Macaca fascicularis: one gene and its partner. The protein of the gene in region 2 interacts with the protein of the main gene of each other region in a pairwise test. Links are inferred from orthologs where the notes say so. Each region holds a gene or a part of one and is shown on either strand. Other genes may lie near its edges.

What was found. The genes of interacting proteins can lie anywhere in the genome.
Region 1: the proteins of IFT25 (region 2) and IFT27 interact in binary tests that used the Homo sapiens proteins (3 or more experiments, as listed by UniProt). The two-hybrid records come from large-scale screens. The link is inferred for Macaca fascicularis from reciprocal best matches to the Homo sapiens genes IFT25 and IFT27.

Annotation. Positions count from the first base shown.
Region 1 is NC_088384.1:14,889,543-14,899,480, forward strand, and holds the start of IFT27 (intraflagellar transport protein 27 homolog), read left to right. Parts: upstream 1-3,985; 5' UTR 3,986-4,409; coding exon 4,410-4,443; intron 4,444-5,493; coding exon 5,494-5,610; intron 5,611-9,938. UniProt on the Homo sapiens protein: Small GTPase-like component of the intraflagellar transport (IFT) complex B that promotes the exit of the BBSome complex from cilia via its interaction with ARL6. Not involved in entry of the BBSome complex into cilium. Prevents aggregation of GTP-free ARL6.
Region 2 is NC_088375.1:180,726,852-180,737,025, reverse strand, and holds the start of IFT25 (intraflagellar transport protein 25 homolog), read right to left. Parts: upstream 5,653-10,174; 5' UTR 5,439-5,652; intron 5,313-5,438; exon of another isoform or gene 5,124-5,312; intron 5,015-5,123; exon of another isoform or gene 4,628-5,014; intron 1-4,627. UniProt on the Homo sapiens protein: Component of the IFT complex B required for sonic hedgehog/SHH signaling.

The DNA of each region.
Region 1 (9,938 bases), on a different chromosome or scaffold from region 2:
CGCCAAGCACTGCATCAGCGGAGACATAAACAACCAGGCCCACGTGAACAGTGGAAAAAAGAACAGCAAAGGTCATTACCAAGTGAAGGCAGTGCACCAGATGCGACAGTGCATTATAGGAAATTGTAAAACAGAACTGCACCACCGCATTATAAATCCCCCTCCAGGGAGTCATGGCCACCGCAGTGGCTGTTCATCAGAACCGGTGCTCCCTGAGTCTCACCACGTGTCAGGAGTGCTGGGGACCCCTTGCATGTGGCGACTCTTCTAAGCCTCAAAGCGCCTACCAGAGCAGATGGGAGGAGACTGAGACACAGAGGAGAGGTGGCAAGACAAGGATTCAAGCCCAGGAAGCCCGAGTCCCATGGTCTTGCAGATTTCAAGTGCAAAGTCAATATCCTTTATTCAGTGGGTTCATACATCTAAATCAGTGCTTCTCATCCGTGGAAGATTGTCATTTGGCAATGTCCCGGGACAATTTTGGTGGTCTCAGCAAGGGAGCTTGCCCTGGTATCTAGTGGGCAGAGGACAGAGATGCTGTCAAACATCTATATTGCTCAGGACAGCCCCCATAACTAAGAACACTTCACCCCTAAGTATCAATAGTGCCGAGGTAGGGAAACCCTGATCTAAATACATAAAATTTCTACAAATCTACTAGCACTCTCTTTTTGGCATTGCCTCTGACATGAGGGCATTTGAGCAAATCTGCTTTAATGTGTGAAAGGTATTCTTCTTGAGAATTCATGCAGAATAACTCTCAGTTATTTCATTTCCCCTAAAACCTCCTATTTACCCAACTGTTGGATTGCATCCAACAATTCTGCTACTACACTCTGTGAATGACAGGGCTGTGACGGGGCCCAGGCAGCAGGAGAACCCCCTGGCTGTCACAGCACAGTGGCGAAGGGGCTTGGGCCCTGCAGTGCGGATGATCAGCCCTGGCGCTGTGCGTGGAAGGTTGCTGCTGTCCCCGGCAGGGAGCCACAGCTCATCCGCATGCTGCTCTTCAGGGATGTCTGGACGTGTTCAGCCCCAGGATGATTGAACAATTCCTGGGAACAACTTGTCAGCAGCTGCCCCTCCACTCCCCTCTTACCCAAAGCCCTGGTAATCAGCCCCAACAGTCTAGTCCCTGGCTTTGGGAAGCAGGACTGTTAAACCTTCCTCTTCCACAGAACATATGGGTGTAACTAGGGGTGCGGGCTGGGGGTGGGAGAGGACCCAGGATCAGGTCACCCCATATGAATGGTCATTGCACACCTCCCAGCAGTAAGCCCATTGCCTGCCCAAAAATTGGTATTCAAGAGTTGGTGCTTATTGAATGAATGAATACACAACTGGAAGGGTAAAGTCTATGAGAGTCATTCATTCATTCAAAAGTATTTACCGGGTGCCTCACCATGCTGGAGACTGTCCTAGATACTGGGTGAACAAAAGAGACCAAGTGTCAGTTCTCATGAAGATTACCTTCTAGTGGAGGGTGACAGATACCATACAAATAAACTAATAAATATGGAATATAGGTGGCCCTCTGCATCCACGGGTTCCACATCTCTGGATTCAACCAACTGCACGTTGCAAACATCTGGGGAAAAGAAAAATTAAAAAAAAGCAACAATAAAAAATAATACAAATAAAATACAGTATACCAATATTTCCATAGTATTTCCATTTTATTAGTTACTGGAAGTAATCTAGAGGTGACTTAAAGTATACAGGAGGATGTGTGTAGGTTTTGTGCAAATATTACACCATTTTATATAGGGAACTTGAGTAGCCCCGGATTTTGATATCTGTGGTTCCCAATCCCCCGCGGATACAGAGGGACAGACTGTGTAATCTCTGGCAGTAGTGAACGCTACGAAGAAAATAAAGTAAGTCAAGGAGATTGAGACTGACAGATTGGGGGCGATGCTTAAATTGTGTGTTTGGGAGGGCTCCCCGAAGGCATGACATTTGAGCTGAGATCCGAAGATTATGAAGGAAAATCATACAGCTTCATTGGGAACAGTGCGTACAAAGACCCTGAGGTGGGAACGTTCCCGAAGAGCTTGAGAAACAGTAAAATGGCCCAACAGAGTAGATAAAGGTGGGTTCTGGCATTAGCTAAGAAAAGCAGTTCTCAACATGAGCATCTGTTGGAGTCACCAAGAGGGCTTATGTGGTTGCATGTTTCTGGTGGAGGAGGGGGGAGCGGTTTATCTTAGGGTTGTAATGTTTCTGATTGGAGATGTCATTTGTGGTTTATGGTCATTTTGACATTAGCCCTTAGGTTGATGACCTTTGGGTTGGACTTAGGCAGTTTCTGATCAAGGGGAACTTTAAAATGGCGGCGCTTCTCCAAGTTGGCGATGTCCCTGCTCTGTCATTACCCACCTTGCAAAATGAAGGAACGGAGGCTTCAGAGGCTGCCCCGATGTGTGTCTGTGTCTTAGCTAAGTGGAGCTGCCTCAGGAGGGTGACGCACTGAATGGGGCCCCTTATGGGATTAACAGGGTTACTCATGGTGAACAGGTTGACCTGGAGGGGAGCTGGCAAGAGGGAGGCAGAAGACCAGAAAGAAGCTTTTTGCTCACCGGACCTGGGGTGTCTGAGACGACTCACGTGATGTCACCAAAGAAGAAAAGCAGTTACGGAGAATGAAGGAGAAACAGACCTTTACTGTAACACCAGGAATGAACTCCAAGGAAAGAACATTTCAGACAACTTGCATTTACTCTGGATTTGCAGCTGAAACCATCAGTCATTCATAGAGTGTGTGTTTATTCCCCAACACAAGGCTGGCGGCCACCCTGAGATGGAGAGTGGCAGAGAGGTGGAATGTTCTAGGCGTCTGGAGGGAATGTGGAACTTTCAGGCAGGTACCTTTGCTGAGAGGCTGCTCTTCCCTTCAGCGTCAGCCATCAGAGATCCCAGGGGCCCCAAAGGAGTGACAACAGGGGGTACATTCGGCCAACCAATGACAGTGATGATAAACCAAATCTGTCCAGATAAGCTTCCGCTCTCCCATCCACCCCACAATCATGTATGCACTTACTATGTCCCAGGCACTTACAAGTTTCTCTCCTTCCATCCCCACAATCACCCCACGAGGCAGGTTCTCCTAGGCCCACCCTGAGAGACTGAGGGATGAGATGACTTGCCCAGGTCAGGGAGATGGCAGTGATTTAGGTCTTTGACCCCCAACCACGTGGAAGAGGCACCCCCAACCCGGTAAATGCGCACAGAGAGCCTCCCTGGGTGATGGGCAACGAGGTGAGTGATGCATTCTCCTTTTGCAGAGAGTAAATGGACTAAGAGGAAAATACGACCTCAAGTTTCCAAGTCTCACCGCTCAGCCCCATCAAAGTGTACTTGTTCTCCCTTTGTTCACAAACATCACTTTAAACACTTTCATATTTTAGATTTTAAAGCTCATAACATTTTTGGGCTTTAAAAATTACATTTCCCTGCGGGATGCGGGGCAAGGACTGAACTTCTCGATGCACTGTCATAGCCGCGTTGTGCAGAACCCGGGAACCGGGGAAACCGCCAGAACCGCTGCGAAGTCAAACAAAGTCAGAACGGCCTCTACGCCGCGACCTGGCCCACTGCGCAGGCGCCACTCCAGACTGTCTGGCGCCCAACCTGCCCCATTGTAGGCGAACCCACTTCTAGAAGGACAGCGGGAGTGGCGAATCCCCATTCAACCCGAAAACGGGTCAAGCCAGACTCTAACCAATCAGAAAGCTTCTTTTATCACCGCTTCTGGCTGCTTGACGTGGAGGCTTCTTTATCTCGGGACTCTGGGGCGCAGCGGGGGCGGGATATAAAGCTGACTGACGTCAATAGCAACCACTCGTCAAGCAGAATGAACTTGAAGAACAGATAATCCTACGAGTTGCATCTCAAGAAAAGGCTGTTATCCCAACTCCTTACTCCCATTGGGTTTTTGGAGCCCTCGAGGGTGAGAGCTTTTGGCGGCAGCCAATCGAGGGTCAGCGAGGAGGAGGAGGCGGGGCAGGTGGGCTATGGTTACCTAGAGAGTGCGTTAGGTGCTGTACTTGTGGCCGGAGGAGAGCCGGGTCGTCTTTCCCTGATCCCGCTGGATAGGGCTGTGCTGAGGGGCTGGGCAGGGAGCACAGACCGTGTCCGCTCTCTTGCACCTTTTCAGACTGCCGTGTCGGGCCTCGAGCCGGGCCCACCTGGAGCCCTCCCCTGCCCACCCGCCCCCAGCGCCCGATTTTCGCCCTCAGCCCAGAAGGGCCGGGCTTGGTCATCCCCAGTCCCGTCGCGGCCACTGGCCCTTGAGATCAGCCCTCCCCACCTTCCCGTCCCAGGCCAGCCCAGGGCCCGAAGCCCACCCACCCGCGCCTCTAGCAGCCGCTCTTGTGCTCTGGGTACGGCTCGCGGGAGTGTTGGTTACCATGGTGAAGCTGGCAGCCAAATGCATCCTGGCAGGTGAGTCTAAAAATTTGCGCTTGAATACGGTGGTCTCTGGAGTCCAGAGCCTTCATAATTCATCCAAAGCTTTTGTTCACCTAAATTGCCTACCTTCTTTTCCTTTCTCTCTGCCGAAGGCGAGTTACTGCAATTACTGATACAGTAAGTTACATTAGGCGCGGAAGAATGATCTTCCAGGGCACTTCGCAGCTCCGGTGGATTTCCCCCTGCTCCCTGTCACATACTCTGAGACCACCTTTACCAGTTGAGCTGACTCGTTAAAAAATCACTAGTTAAAACTCTAGAGGAGCAGACTTGTTAAAAACAAAACAAACAAAACTTAAGCAAACCTTGAGTGCTTTAGCTAAACATTTACTGTACCCCAAAGTTAGGCATCAGTGACTTTGGTAGTCTTTACTATGGGATTTTTTTTTCCCTGACCTCACCCCCTCTGATAACGGTGACCTGAGTGTAGTGACCAGAGTTTGCAAAAGGCACTTGTGTGTTGCCTTTAAGACCCAAAGTTACTGTGCTGCCCCTTTCCAAGAAAGGCATAAATGTTGAGACTCCCAAAGGCAGGAATCTTTGTTTTGTTGACTGATACATCCCAAGCATCCAGAACAATGCCTGGAACATAGTGGGTACTCAATAAATACTTTCAGAATGGATGAATATATGGCATGCACATTTGTAGTGTGCCCCTTGTATCACTCTGCACATTTAGAAAAACAATAGCTTGGATTATAGACTACGAAACACATATGCATGCTACTGAGTCCTTACTGCATGTGAGGCACACATATTTCGTGTAATCGTCTCACCATAGCACACTGGGCTAGGTACTGGATTGTTCTTTTTTGTTTGTTTTTTTTGGAGACAGAGTCTCACGCTGTCACCCAGGTTGGAGGGCAGTGGCACGATCTCGGCTCACTGCAACCTCCACCTCACTGGTTCAAGCAATTCCCCTGCCTCAGCCTCCTGAGTAGCTGGGATTACAGGCACACACCACCATGCCCGGCTAATTTTTTTTTTTTTTTTTTTTTTTTTTTTTTTTTGTATTTTGAATAGAGACGGGGTTTCACCATGTTGGCCAGACTGGTCTCGAACTCCTGACCTCAGGCGATCCGCCCGCCTCAGCCTGGCAAAGTGTTGGGATTGCAGGCATGCGCCACCGCGCCTGGCCAGGTACTGGATTGTTCTGATCTTACTGAGGCACTGAGAGATGTCAGCCAAGGTCAACCCCTAGTGAAGCTCCTAGGCAGGATTTCAGCCCCTCGATCTGCCCAACTCCAAAACTCTTAACTCGTGTTTCTGTTCAGACCTGTGACCTTTCCAGGCTTCCCTGGCCAGCTCAGGAAAGAAGTGGTGAGAAATTATATAGAGAAAAAGATTTCTTTTTAAAAAAATTCCCCTCTTCCAGACTGAGAATAAATTATGATATTTTTAATAGCTTTTATACTTTGAAAATAAAAGGGTCACACAGAAAGATGACTGACAGTAGTAACTGAATCATACTGGAGCAAAAGAAATTAATGGTTCTCAGGAGAGTCTCCAGTTTCCAGAACACCAGAGGAGGCAGTGTTGTGTAACAAAAGTAATTTTGCCTGTTCCTCTTACTGGCTGTGTCATCTTGGACAAAGCACTTTTTTGAGCTTTAATTTCCTTATGGATAAGGTGGGAACATTATTTTCTGAAGTTACATTTTTTTTTTAAATGGGCTTCTCTCTGTGTTCTTTTTACATTCGATTTTCATCATGGAGCTAACTTAATGAGCACTTTGGGTGCATCAGCTCGGTGCTAGACCCTCGGTACAGGTGGTCTCACTGAATCCTCATGGCAACCCTGGGGGATTGGTCTTATTGCCATCTTCATTTACAGATGAGGCAACTGAGGCCCAGAAAAATGAGAACATTTGCCTTGGGTCACAGAGCTGGAATCGGCAGAGCTGTATGATCCAGACCCTGGGTCCTAGTCTGATTTCCAGGGCTTTAGCCGAAGCTACACAGTCCTCAAGCTGTGCTCCTCTGGGCCTTTTTCTTTCTTTTTTTTTTTTTTAAGATGGAATTTCACTCTCGTAGCCCAGGCTGGAGTGCAATGGCACAATCTCAGCTCACTGCAACCTCCGCCTTCTGGGTTCAAGCGATTCTCCTGCCTCAGCCTCCCGAGTAGCTGGGATTACAGGCGTCCACCACCATGCCCAGCTAATTTTTTGTATTTTTTAGTGGAGACGGGGTTTCACCATGTTAGCCAGGCTGGTCTTGAACTCCTGACCTCAGGTGAACCGCCCGCCTCAGCCTCCCAAAGTGCTAGGATTACAGGCATGAGCCACTGTGCCCGGCCCTTTTTTTTTTTTTCTTTTGACGTAATTTCACTCTGTCTCCCAGGCTGGAGTGCAGTGGTGCACAATCTTAGCTCACCGCAACTTCCGCCTCCTGACTCAGCCTCCCATGCAGCTGGGGTTACAGGCACATGTCACCATGCCCAGTTAATTTTTGTATTTTTAGTAGAGATGGGGTTTCGCCATGTTGGTCAGGCTGGTCTCGAACTCCAGACCTCAAGTGAACCGCCCGCTTCAGCCTCCCAGAATGCTGGGATTACAGGCATGAGCCACCCACCGTGCCTGGCCTCTTTGTGCCCTTCTTTACCCCAACTCCCTTGGGCAGTTCTTTCACCTGAATGCAGCCACTGCCTAGTTAATGGCTCCTGAACTCCAGCCTGCGCCTCAATCTGCAGCCTCTTCAAGGCTTCCACAGCATTTCCTCTTGAAAGTTCCCAGGGGCCAAAAGACCTCAGCCCAGAAATCAACCCCCTTTGACACCCCTCACTCACCCCTGCCACACACACACCATTGGTTTTATTTTCCCATCCATGACCCACAGCCCTACTGCTGAAACTGTGTTATTCTGTTTTTTCTCTCACGTAACTAGTCATTGAAGGACCTGATGTTCAGTTCAAGTGTTAATGTGTTGAACAGATACTCACTGGGCACCTGCTGTGTCTGAGTCACCGTGCAAGGTGCAGTGGGCATGCAAGCATGAAGCAGTTGCATTCAAGGAAGAATTAAGATGCACGTGATAAGTTGTAACACAGCGAACACAAAGCAAATGCCCTTTGTGTGCCAGATGTGGGGAAATACCTCCAGGCACAGCTGCTGCTTGTTCTGGTTCTGGAGAAGAGAGAAAACAACATTTGACATTGATCTATATTTTATTTACTTTTTTAAAAAACACTTAAATAGCACTTATCTATGCCAGGCACTGTACATACTAACTCATTAAATCCTCATAACAATTCTGCAAGGTAGGTGCTGTGATTATCCTGTGTTATACGTGTTGCAGCTGAGGCACAGAGAGGTTAACTCACTGATTTAAAGTCACACAGCTAGAAAGTGATGGAGCTGGAATCTGGCTTCACAGTCTGTGCCCTTAAGTACCGTGATATTCTGCCTCTTGATATACATGGAGATAGTAATAGAGCCTCCTGGGAGGGTTGCTCTGACATCACATCTTGCACTGCCACTGAGCAATGATCCACATTAGCCACACAGATAAAGACGAAGGAGGGAGAGATGGCCTTCAGAGGCTGTGCAGGAAGGGTATTATTTGAGATTTCCTTGCAGAGAATGGACGGGATTTGAATTTGGTCTAGGGGTACCTGGAAGGAGGTGGCCTTGAGGAATTTTCAGGGACTGGGAGAACAGGAATGCAGAGCCCAGATTTGGGGTAAGGGATTGTTGGGGAGAGAGTGGGAAGGTGGGTTAGGGCTGACCGTGGAGATGGGTAGGCCATGAAGGAATCCTCAGTGGGGTTTGTGTGAAGGTTTGCCAAGATGGAGGCACTGTGTTATGAGGGTCCATCTGTGGATGCCACGCTCTGGGCGGATTAGAGCCGGGAGAGAGAAAGAAGAGGAGAGAAGTGTTTTCAGTTGAGGCACAGTCAGGAAGACAGAAAGCGCAGTCGCCATTTCAGCGGAGACATTTTATTATATGGAATCGGTTCATCAGGCGGTGGAGAACTGAGGAAGCAAGAAGGCAGCACTGGGATGACGCAGAGTGGCGGGCAGAGGTCGGGGGTGTCAGAAGCTGGAAGAGCCCCAGGGAGCTGGGATCCGGACCCCTGAAGAAGGGGCCCTGCCCGGCTGGTGCCAGCACCTTCAGGAGTTCAGTCACCCGCCGCATGCCACAGAGCACCAGGACCCATTTCCCACTGGGAGGAGCCCAGCCCTGTGTTCAGGGCACGACATACCAAATCAGTTCCAAACCATCCTGGAGGGTCTGTGTTTTAACATCACTCCCGGTACCAAGGACTACGTAAGTCAGGGGCCAGGCAAAAACCAGCAACTCTATTCGGCCTTTCAGTGGTGAGGATTTCAGTAGGATGTTAATGACACAGGTGCTGGAGGACTGGAAGAGGAAAAGGGGGAGACTGAGGCAGCACGGGTAGTAACTGCAGGAAGGAGCACCGCCTCTCGGGCTGGGAAAGCAGAGGGAAGCATGTGGGGCTCTCAGCCCAGAAGCAGGGAGGAGGGGCCCTGGGAGCCGAGGTGTGGATCTTTGAGAAGAGGGCACTGCCCACTGGTGCTGGTTCCTCTGGGGGCAACAATAAGGCTGGTCTAGGAGTAGGGAAACACACACACACACAAAAAAAACCAAGACCGGAAGCAGTTAGTGCTGCTGGGGTGCAGGCCATTGCTAGGGTAGTGCTAAGAAAAAGGAGAAGCAGGCGGGAAGAGCAACGTCCTCTCCCCTCACGCCGGCCTTCCCCTCTTCTTCCAGAACTACCATTGGCAAAGCCTAACAGGAAGCTCCTAGCAAGGGAGAAACGTGTCTGCAGAGGCCCCCTCCCCAGCACACCACGGAAGGACTTGAGGCTGAGACAGAAACCCAGCCGTGAGGTCTGAGCTAACTGGGGCGGCGGGGTCAGCACGGAGGGCCGAGCAGAGATGGGCTGAGACTCAGCCAAGGATGTGAGGAATGCAAGGGAGGCTGCCTGGAGACAGGAGGAAGGAGGAGGAGCAGTCAGAGGTGACCTGTTGAATCTGGGGACGATGAAAATACATGGTGGCATCACAAACAGAAAGCATGGGCGAGGGGGACGACCCACTCAGGACCAGGGCATGACAGAGCTTGGCCGTAGACAGACTGAGGTTGGAGGCAGATCCTTCATTCTAATGGCAACTGGCAACGCACACGGGTTTTTGGATATATAGACAAAGCTTGGGAGGGAGAGCCTGCCCTCTGTCAAGGTGACAAGAGTCAGTGGGATGGAGTGGACTGGGAGCAGAGCGCCACCGAGAACAGGCCTATGGGAATGCCTACACTCGGGGAGCATAGGGGCAGGCAGATGGCAGGAGAACTAGGCCAGGGCAGGGTCACTGAGGCCATGGGGACCGGACTCGGGAAGGAAGGGGTCGCTTCAGGCTGACTCACATCCTTCAGAGACGTCAAGGAGGATGAGAACCAAGAAAAGGCCATCGGCCTTGGCAACTGTGAGGTCACAGGTGACCTCACATCG
Region 2 (10,174 bases):
TTGGGAGGCCAAAAAATTTTTTTTTTTTTCTGTAGAGATGGGGTCTTGCTATGCTGCACAGGCTAGTCTTTGTTTTGAGACGGAGTCTCACTCTTGTTGCCCAAGCTGGAGTGCAATGGCACGATCTTGGCTCAATGCAACCTCTGCCTCCCGGTTTCAAGCGATTCTCCTGCCTCAGCTCCTGAGTAGCTGGGATTACAGGCACCCGCCACCACGCCAGGTTAATTTTTGTATTTTTAGTAGAGACGGGGTTTCACCATGTCGGCCTGACTGGTCTCAAACTCCTGACCTCGTAATCCGCCCACCTCAGCCTCCCAAAGTGCTGGGATTACAGGCGTGAGCCAGCACACCCAGCTTGCTCAGGTTAGTCTTAAAACTCCTGGCCTCAAGTGATCCTCCTGCCTCAGCGTTTCAAAGTGCTGGTATTAAAGGCATGCGCCACTGTGCCCGGCCAGTATCAGTATTTTATAAAAATGCATTTATTCTTAGTTTTTATTTATTAGAATACAGTTCACTTTCTATTATATTTTAAAAATTAGTATCGATAGTATTAAAAGTGTGGTAACATTGGTAAGAAAACACATATATTTTAATTTTTTGTGCCTCTTTTCTCTATCAATCTTACCACAGCTTTTGACACTATTGATACCAGAAAAACAGTCAGTGTGGGATGAATTGTCAAGCCTTAGTTTTAAGAGGAGAAAGATGATGAATTCTGTAAATACAGATTGATAAACTTGAATGCTAATTCTCAACAAAACCCTAAAATTATTAAAATTCATTATTAAAATGGTAGCCTTGAAAATGTAACCAAGGAAGTACTAAAATTGGAAGTAGCAGTAACATTAGTTTACAAGCTAAACCAAACCTATACATTTCTGTTTGTCTGATGGAATTCCTACCCATTTGGAACATGTTCTAAACATTTCGACAAAGCTTCAGACAAAGCTTCTCAAGATACCCTGTGAACCCGACAGAGAAATATGAATTGGGTGACAGCCAGTACTCTAGGTAGATATTTCTAACTCTGAGTGGCTATACTCAAAGAATGATGATTAATGGAAGAAAATGAACTTGTGGAGAACTTCTATCCTTATCCTACTCAACATTTTTATTAATTAAGGATGCACAAAGTATGCTCATCAATTTTGCAGACACAAAGCTTGGGATGTCAGCTGATACGCTAGGTGACAGAATTAGCATTCAAAAAGAAATGAGTAAGCTAGAAAGATGGCTTGCAATGAGTAAGTCATCTAATAAGGATAAAAGTAAAAACCTTTACTCAGTTTTGGAAAAAATCAATCATACAAGGGTTAGTCTAAATCAGGGGTTAGCAAACTACTGCCTGTGAGCCAAATCTAGCCTGCCATTTGTTTTTGTACTGCCCACAAGCTAAAAATGTGTTTAACATTTTAAAATATTTTTTAAAATCAAAATATACTGTGACACACAAAAATTACATGAAACTCATATTTTAATGTCCATGAATTATATTGGAAAGTGGCTATGCTCATTCGCTTATATATTGCCTATGGCTGATTATATGTTACAGTGACATAGCTGAGTCACTGAAACAGACTACAAGGCCCATAAAACCTGAAATATTTACTATTTGGCCCTTTACAAAAAAGTGTGCCAACCTCTGATCTGATACATATAGGTTTGGTTGATCACAAAGTCAATATAAGGCAACAGTGTACTCTATCTGCCCCTAAAGGTAATGGAATGCTATCTTAGAGTTTAAGGAAGTACCACATTCCATCAACATTTTTGAACACCAGTTGAACTAAGGGCCAAGCACTGTGCTAGTATTGCAAAGACGAATATAACAACCTAGGGACTAAGACTTGGTTCTTGCCTTCAAGTTTCAGAGTCAAGGAAGATGAATAAGCATGAAGCTAATAGTATAATATACTACGTACTAACATCGTGTGACGCACATCCAGAACACTGTGTTCAGTTCTGGGTAGTATGTTTTAAGTAGGACATCGTCAGGCGCAATATTGTTCAGAGGAGAGTAAAAAGTTCATGATGATCTATAAACCATATTACATAGAGGAAGGTGAAAAATAGAAATATGACTACCATTTTTATTCTCAGTGGTGCTCACAAATGGAAAAAGGATTTTTTACACCTCCAGGGGTGTGAACTGAACTCAACAAATACACATTTTGAGCAGGAACTTTGGAGAGACAAGGACTTTCGTGCAAAGTAAAGATTTTAAATTTCTTTCATCCCTGGAAACATCCAAGAAAAGTCAGTAAAAGATCATAATCTATGGAAGAAGCCAAAGAAATCTATGGAGGAAGCCAAAGACAGGATTCCTGCATTGGTAGTTCTCTTGGACTGAGTCAAATTCTAGGAAAGGTAGATTGGGAAAAGATAATGAAAGATCTGAAAAGCCAAGTTAACGGCAATGAAGTTTATCTTGTACTCCGTACTCCAGTGGTTCTCAACTGGACTGGGGGTAGATTTTGGCCTCCAACGGACACTTCACAACATGTGAAGTTTTAGCTGTCACAACTTGGGAGGGAAAATGCTGCTAAATATACCATCATATAGAGGACAGCACATCCACAAGTAATTATTGGACCCATGTATAAATAGTGTAAAGCTGGGGAAACTATGCAGTAATCTATTTGGGGGTGGAAATGTGAGGGTTGGAGCTATAGGGAGATAACTTTTTTTTTTTTGAGATAAGGTCTGGCTCTATGGCCCAGGCTGGAGTGCAACCATGTGATCTCGGCTCAATGCAACCTCTGCCTCCCAGGCTCAAGCGATCCTCCCACCTCAGCCTTCCTAGTAGCTGGGACTACAGGCACGCACCACCAAGCCTGGCTCATTTTTTTGTTTTGTTGGGACAGGGTTTTGCCATGTTGCCCAGGCTGGTCTCTAACTCATGAGCTCAAGCGATCCGCCCACCTTGGCCACCCAAAGTGCTGGGATTTCAGGAGCGAGTCACTGTGTCCGGTCAAGAACTTGTTTTTTAAAAAAGAGATGGCCGGGCGCGGTGGCTCAAGCCTGTAATCCCAGCACTTTGGGAGGCCGAGACGGGCGGATCACGAGGTCAGGAGATCGAGACCATCCTGGCTAACACGGTGAAACCCCGTCTCTACTAAAAAATACAAAAAACTAGCCGGGCGAGGTGGCGGGCGCCTGTAGTCCCAACTACTCGGGAGGCTGAGGCAGGAGAATGGTGTGAACCCGGGAGGCGGAGCTTGCAGTGAGCTGAGATCCGGCCACTGCACTCCAGCCTGGGCGGCAGAGCCAGACTCCGTCTCAAAAAAAAAAATAAAAATAAAAAAAATAAAAATAAAAAAGAGTTACACTTCAGGGTTGATATGGAGATGAATAGGAAAGAATGTACTTCCCAAGTGTTCAGTTCTTTTCTTACCTCACATTCTTAAGTTTTCTGAGAAGCAAACACATGCTTTAATGCAAAACTCATTTCACACCTTCTATATTCAACATTATCCTCCCTATTTCCTGTTTTGGGTAGAATTACTTAAGTAGAAATGGCAGAGACTGGGTTTTCTTTATCTTTTGTTGCAGTTAATGACAAGAGACAACCAACCTTAGAGAAATACATACAATGACGCCAGTGACTCACGCCTGTAATCCTGACACTTTGAGAGGCCGAGATGGGCGGACAGCTTGAGCTCACAAGTTCAAGACCAGCCTGGGCAACATGGTGAAACCTCGAAATCCCCTCTACTAAAACTACAAAAATTAGCCGGACCTGTTGGCAGGCGCCTGTAATCCCAGCATTTGGGAGGCCCAGGCAGGCGGATCACTTGAGGCCAGCAGTTCAAGACGAGCCTGACCAACATGGTGAAACCTCGTCCCTACTAAAAATATAAAAATTAGCCGGGTGTGGTGGCGGGCGCCGGTAATCCCAGCTAATCCAGAGGTTGAGGCAGGAGACTCGCCTGAACCCAAGAGGCGGAGGCTCAGTGAGGTGAGATCGCGCCACTGCACTCCAGCATGGGCTACAGAGCGATGATGTCTCCAAAAAACAAAACAAAAGTGCAGGTTTGGGAGGTAGTCTAATCCCCCACCCCTTCAGAACAAGGTAATTTCCTCAGGGCCGCAGTTTACCAAAGGTGGTACACTCTGGGGTGCTATCCTTTCCATTTTTTACAATCCCTGACCCTGGAATTCCCTGATGCTTTATCCTGTCTTTCAAATTAGGGCCACTGGTTTCGTCCCCAGTTCACCCCTTCATCGCTAGCTCACATGCCCTTTGTGGTCCTTCTTTCTCCAAACCTCTTCAGGTCAAGTCCTTAGAGGACCTTCAACCTGACCAGCCCCCTTGGTTCTGGTGCTACAGCTGGACTCCTCATGCTCTTTCAAGTACCATCCATTGGGAACGTGGTGTACTTTAGAAAACGCGGACCTGGCCTACGGCTTGTCTCCGCGGGGACAAGGCCACCGCTTCCAAGACAAACCAGCCCTGGCACCACCTTCTCACCTCCATCCCAAACCCTCCTCCTCAGTCCCAGGCCCTGTGGAGACAGACTTCCGAGGGCCCTAGAGCCTCAGACTTGTGGAGGCCTCGCCCCAAAGTATGTAAAGAATATAATAAATGCCCCCGACCTTAAGTACAATTCATAGCTAGATGGCTTACGTTGCGGCTGACAGCTTACATTTTGGTAGGCTAATTAATTTCGATTTACAATTGGTTTTCCCTTTTGGTGGTCAAGACGCTATTTCTGGCCTCAAAGAGCTTCGAGGCCTGGCACTGGCGCCTCCAGGGTCTAGAGGAGAAGGCGGGTCCGCGTCAGACCTCCCGCGACGGCCCTTCCACGCCTCCCGTTGCTCGTCTTTTCACCACCCTCCACTGTTGCTCCCTTCCCACCAGCATCCCCTTCCTTCTGCCTTGCCCGGCCAGGCCCCCACACCCCCTGGTACCAGCCTGCCCACCCCGCGGCCCGCTCGCCTGGGACTCCCCTTAGTTCTGGGCGCCGTACCTTCCTGGCTCGAAACCTCCCTTTCGCCCCGCCCCACGCAGAGCGCCCCAACCCACAGCCCCGCCTCCTCGCCGCAGCCTCAGCGGAGTTCGGGACTGCGCGCGCTCCAACTCCGAAATCTTCGCGCCACGCCTCCCACAAGCCCCGTCTCACCCTCAGCCCCGCCCCCTCGCCGCGACCACAGCGGAGTTCCCGGGCGCGCGCTCCTACCCCGAGCTCTTCGCGCCACGACTCCGACAGGCCCGCCCTGCCCTCAGCCGCGCCCCCCGCGCCGCCGCGGCCTCCGCAGAGTTCCCGGGCGCGCTCGCTCCTACCCCGAGCTCTTCGCGCCACGCCTCCCACAGGCCCCACCCCGCCTCAGCCCCGCCCCCTCGCCGCGGCCTCGGCCCCTCCTACCCCTAGCTCTTCGCGCCACGCCTCCCACAGGCCCCGCCCGCCCTTGACCCCGCCTTCTCCAGCTCCCATTACTTCGCGGGCCAAGATGCGCAACCACTCCCGAGCGCCTTTCCCAGGGCAGTCCCAGGACTTGCGCTGCCTACCCTCCCCCAGCTCAGCTGTATCCCTGGGGCCCGCAGGACCCAGGGGATCCGCCCTCCCGCGAGCACGCACGCGCAGGGCCCACCTCTGCTAGTTCCAAACCCTCGGCCCTCGGGTCGCCTGCCTGGGGCCCGGCCCCGCCTCTAGACCCGGCCCCGCCTTCGTGCCGGGGCCCGCGCACGCGCGCCTCCCCGGCCCAGCCTTGCCCCCGTCCCCGCCGGTCCCGCGGTCCCACAGCGCCTGGTTGCCCCCAGCCCTCTCCCTCCTCCCACCCTCGCTGTGTCCCACCCTCCCTAGCTTTGTGCCCGGGGTGCTGAGCCGTTCCCCGTCAGCCGCGCCGCGGGAGGAGGGAGCCGCCACAGAGGAGCTGCCGCTCGCTGCCCCGGGCAGGGGCACAGGTAGGTGGCGGCCGCGGGCCGGGCCGCTCGCGGGGCCCCGGGTTGCGTGTGGGAGCGGGGGCGGGGTGTTAGGGAGCGGCGGGGTGGGGGAGGGGAAGCCCGAGAGGGACGGCGGGGCGCGGGTTGAGGGGAGGATGAGGTATATGGGTGTGGACGATGGATTTAAGGGTGGCGTAGGGGTGCGGGGGCAGGCTATGGGGACGTGTGAGAATTGGGGTTCGGGGCCGGGGTGGGATAGGGAGCAGGATTAGCCTGGGTGGACTCGGGGAGAGGCACGCGTGGGGAGAGAGCGGAACGAAGGCATGCGTGGGGAGAGAGCGGGAAGAAGGAATGGGGAAAGGAAATGGGATTTTAGGGGTTCAAGGAGGAAAAGAGCTAGGATAGGAATAGAGAGGGTGGGGTCTTGGGGACAGGGAAGAAAAGTTGGGGGTGTGGAATGCCAAGTTAGGGATAGGCGTGAAGGAAGAAGGTCTTGAAGATTGAGAACAGAAGGCAAGGAAAGGGTTGGAGAGATTGGGGGCCTAGGAGAGGGAAGCCCCTAGAGTGGGAAGACGGGAAGAATAGATGGTGGAGGGAAGGAGTGGGGGTGGAGGAGTTGGGGAAAGAAAGGGAGGCAGGTGGAGGTTGGGAGATTGGAGGTTGGAAGGGTTGGGTCTGTGGAACAAGCAAGCCACCTTTCAGCAGGAGCACGGAAGGGCTGGAAGGGTCTGAGGCTTGAGGCGGGCAGGGGAGCTGAGGTGAGCGAAGGGAGTGGGGTTAGGATTTTTGGTGTGAGAAGCGCTAGAGTTGTTAAGAGTCACATTGTGGGAGAGATTGGCATGTTCTTGGGGGGCAGTAGGGAGCCTGAGAGAGGAAAAGGTATGGATGAGAAGGCAGTAAAGTGCATATTATAGGAAAAAAGTAGTGAGGAAAGTTGAAAATTGAAGAATGGGGACACACAGAACAATGAAGGTGGATTGTTGGTTATTGCTGGTTTAGAACTACCCACAGTTTAGTTTCTGTTCAGGTTTTTATTTAGAAATTTTCCCAAGAATACTGCATTTTCAGATAAACTAAGTGTGGGCAGCCTTGGGATGAAGGCCATGGGCTGGCAGATGTTCTCCTGGTATATAGATGTAGCTCATTTTGGGCCTGGCAGAGGGAAGAAGGGAGGCCTCGTTGTAACTGTCTTGGCTCTGTTCCCACCAGCTCTTTCCCTAGATGTGCACCGGTTTTCGTTTTTTTTTTTTTTCAATCTTATCCCTTCCCCCTCCCCTCAGGCTTCAACCAGTGAATACTAGAGGGATCAAACAGGTGGGTGAGATTAATTTTTCACATTTTTTTTTTTTCTATCCTTAAGGCTGATGTCATATTTTTAGTCTTGAGAAACAGCATCATGCCAAGGAAAGAGCTTGAGCTTTGCAGTAATGCGACCCTGAGATTGAATTCTGGCTCTGCCACTTACTAGCTCTGTTCTAGAGTAAGTTATTTTACTTCCGTGGGTCTCTTTGTCTATTAAAAGGCAATACTGACCTCATAGGTTCATTAGAGATTACATGAGATCACTTTATATAGTACCTAACAGTGCTTGGCAACTGGTAGGTGCTTAATAAATGGTAGCCATCATCCAGTATCGTTAAACATCATAGTTATTCCTACAACTTACTATTCTTAGGGGATTTTTATCTTACTTTATCTTCTGAAGTTAGGTATTTTCTTCTTCTCTTCAAATTAGCTGTAAATTCAGCTCATAATTTTACCCTGTGGGCTCCCTGATAACCCCAGTTCACCTGACTGGGATAGTCATGCTTTTTGCTTGGAAAACTGGATTCAAGGTCTAAAAAACTGTCATGTGTAGTATCAATAATTTTATCTGGCCTTTTTCAAGAAAGCTGTATAGAACTGAGTTTTTAATGTAATACAGCTATGTTTCATTCATTTGATGAAATGGTACACTTCGTGGTAACTTTGGCTCTCTTGTGGTGACCAAATGCTAGAACATACATGATTATAATATTTTTCTATGCTGTCGTATGGGTTACAAAGCTGCCTTACTGTAGCAGGCTGGGAGACTATCAAAATGTCGCTGTTACTCTTGATCCAATATATAATACAGCTACTACGATCTACATTGGACATTGTTATTATTGTAGTGACTAAGTATTTTAATTTTTCAATTTGGATGGGGTTTTCACCATGGTTTAGAACAGGTCCATTTGTAATACACCACCCTGTACACCATCCTGTACATTAGCGAGGGTCAAATAAACCCAAGTAGAGAAGTTTTATGTAGAATTCTCTTGCCTTTCTGGTCCTTAGCCTTGAAGGGTTCAAATGTTAATTTAATGCTTAGATCATGTTATAGTACCTCAGATCATGTTATAGTACCTCATAGACTCTCAGGAAGCTCCTTTTTGGGAGAATGCAGGACGTGCTGATTTAGTAGTAGAAATTAAAGGACACCAGGATTCCTGAACCAAAGTCAATTCCTCCAGTGGCTTCTGGACAAATGATGTGGGTTTACTCTCCAGGAAAAAATTGTATTTATTTTTTCCTCATTTAGAAAGAGAAATGGTATTTGATGGGTAATCTAAAGAAAAACAAACAAAAAACCAGAACCGTTCCCTTTTCTTGAAAATGATCCCTGGAAGCCAAAGCATCCCAGATTTTGAGGAGCCCAGATTAGGGTCCTTACTCTAGTCCCAAGCTGCTTGTGCCCTCTGCTGGATGGAATCAGACTTCTGATTTTCATCTGAAGTGGTCACCCACCCACCCAGCCATCCATCCATTTGTCCATTTTACAACAGTATTTGTGGAAGACACTATTAGGGGTGAGGGTTGGGGGCAATACAGATGGGCAGACCCTGTTTCATTGCTCAGGGAGTTCACAGTGTATTCATCCACTATAATAGGGTATCTTCCATAGAATTTGTCTTTCTGTTGTTAAAATCACGTCAGTCCTTTTTAGGGCCATACCTAGCATCTGCTTTCTGATCTACAGGTAGAGTAGAGCTCTGAATGTTAAATGACAGGGATAAAAAACCAAAGGACATCTGCTTTACTTCCTCAGTCAAAATTAAGGTCTGCAAGGTTGGAGGGTCCAGATGCTCACCCCTACTGGAAGAAGAACTCAGAATAAATGAGGCATCTCCTTAGCAGCAGGCGCTGTAAATGCTGGCAAGAGAAAAGTATGGGTTGTAAGAGCTAGCACTGTGACAGAATTTTTTTCCCCTTGTTTTTTAGTTTAGTTGTCTCCCACCCCTTGTAGTACCAGTAGCAATATACTCCCATCGTCTGCTTTGCCTTTGCCACCTGCAGAATGGTCTGGCAAGTGGGGGAGGAGCCTGCAGCTGTTGCCTGGAAAAGGAGCTGGCTCCTAGCAACAGTATCAGCAGGCCCTGCAACTGAGAGCACTAAGTTTGTCCTTTGAGGTCTTACCCTTCCTTTCATACAGTTCAGCAAATATCTTTTGAGGGCTTACTTAGTGCTAGGCACTATGTCAGGCCTGGGAAAGATAGATGAATCAAATAAGTACCTTGCCTTCAAAAAGCTCACCACTCTGGGTACATTAACAAGTGAACAGACATAGTACATGGTGCTAAGTGCTATGTAGGAGAGACTAGGTGCTCTGGGAAAACCAGACAGGCACATACTGGTGCAGGGGTTAGGGAAGGTTTCCCAGAAGAGGAACGATGTTAATGATGAGTAGGAATTAGCTAGGTCAGGGAGGCAGAGCAGGATGTTCCAGCCAAAGGGAACAGAACGGGCAATGGCCAGTGGGACATGAGAGCATGGCCAGTTTACCTGGGTAGTATGACAGGGCCAAAGATTGTAGGACATAAGGAGATGAGCAGGAAAGAGTGAGGCTCTAGAGCTAGGCAGAATACTCTTCTCTCGTGCTTTTATACACATAATTATCCTTGAGAGAAACATGGATAGTACTGATTCCCACACACAGGACCATTATTTCATCTCCAGAGACTCAGCATTTTTGATCACGGACTTAAATGTGGCTGACACTCGTAAGTGGCTTCAGGGCCACATTGTGGCCCCACATTGATGCAGAAGAAGCTGAGTTGGTTCACTCTAAAACTCAATCATATTCTTTTAGGGATATTATCAGGCCTGTATGATATTCTACCTCTCTTCTCCCTTTAAATTGTAGAAATGATCATCAAATAAATACCTTCATTTTATTTAACATAGCACTTTTTCATGTATTTTGAAATCTCACGGTTACTCAGGAGGAAAACAAGTATTCCAGTTCTTGGGCACATAATATTACCCACA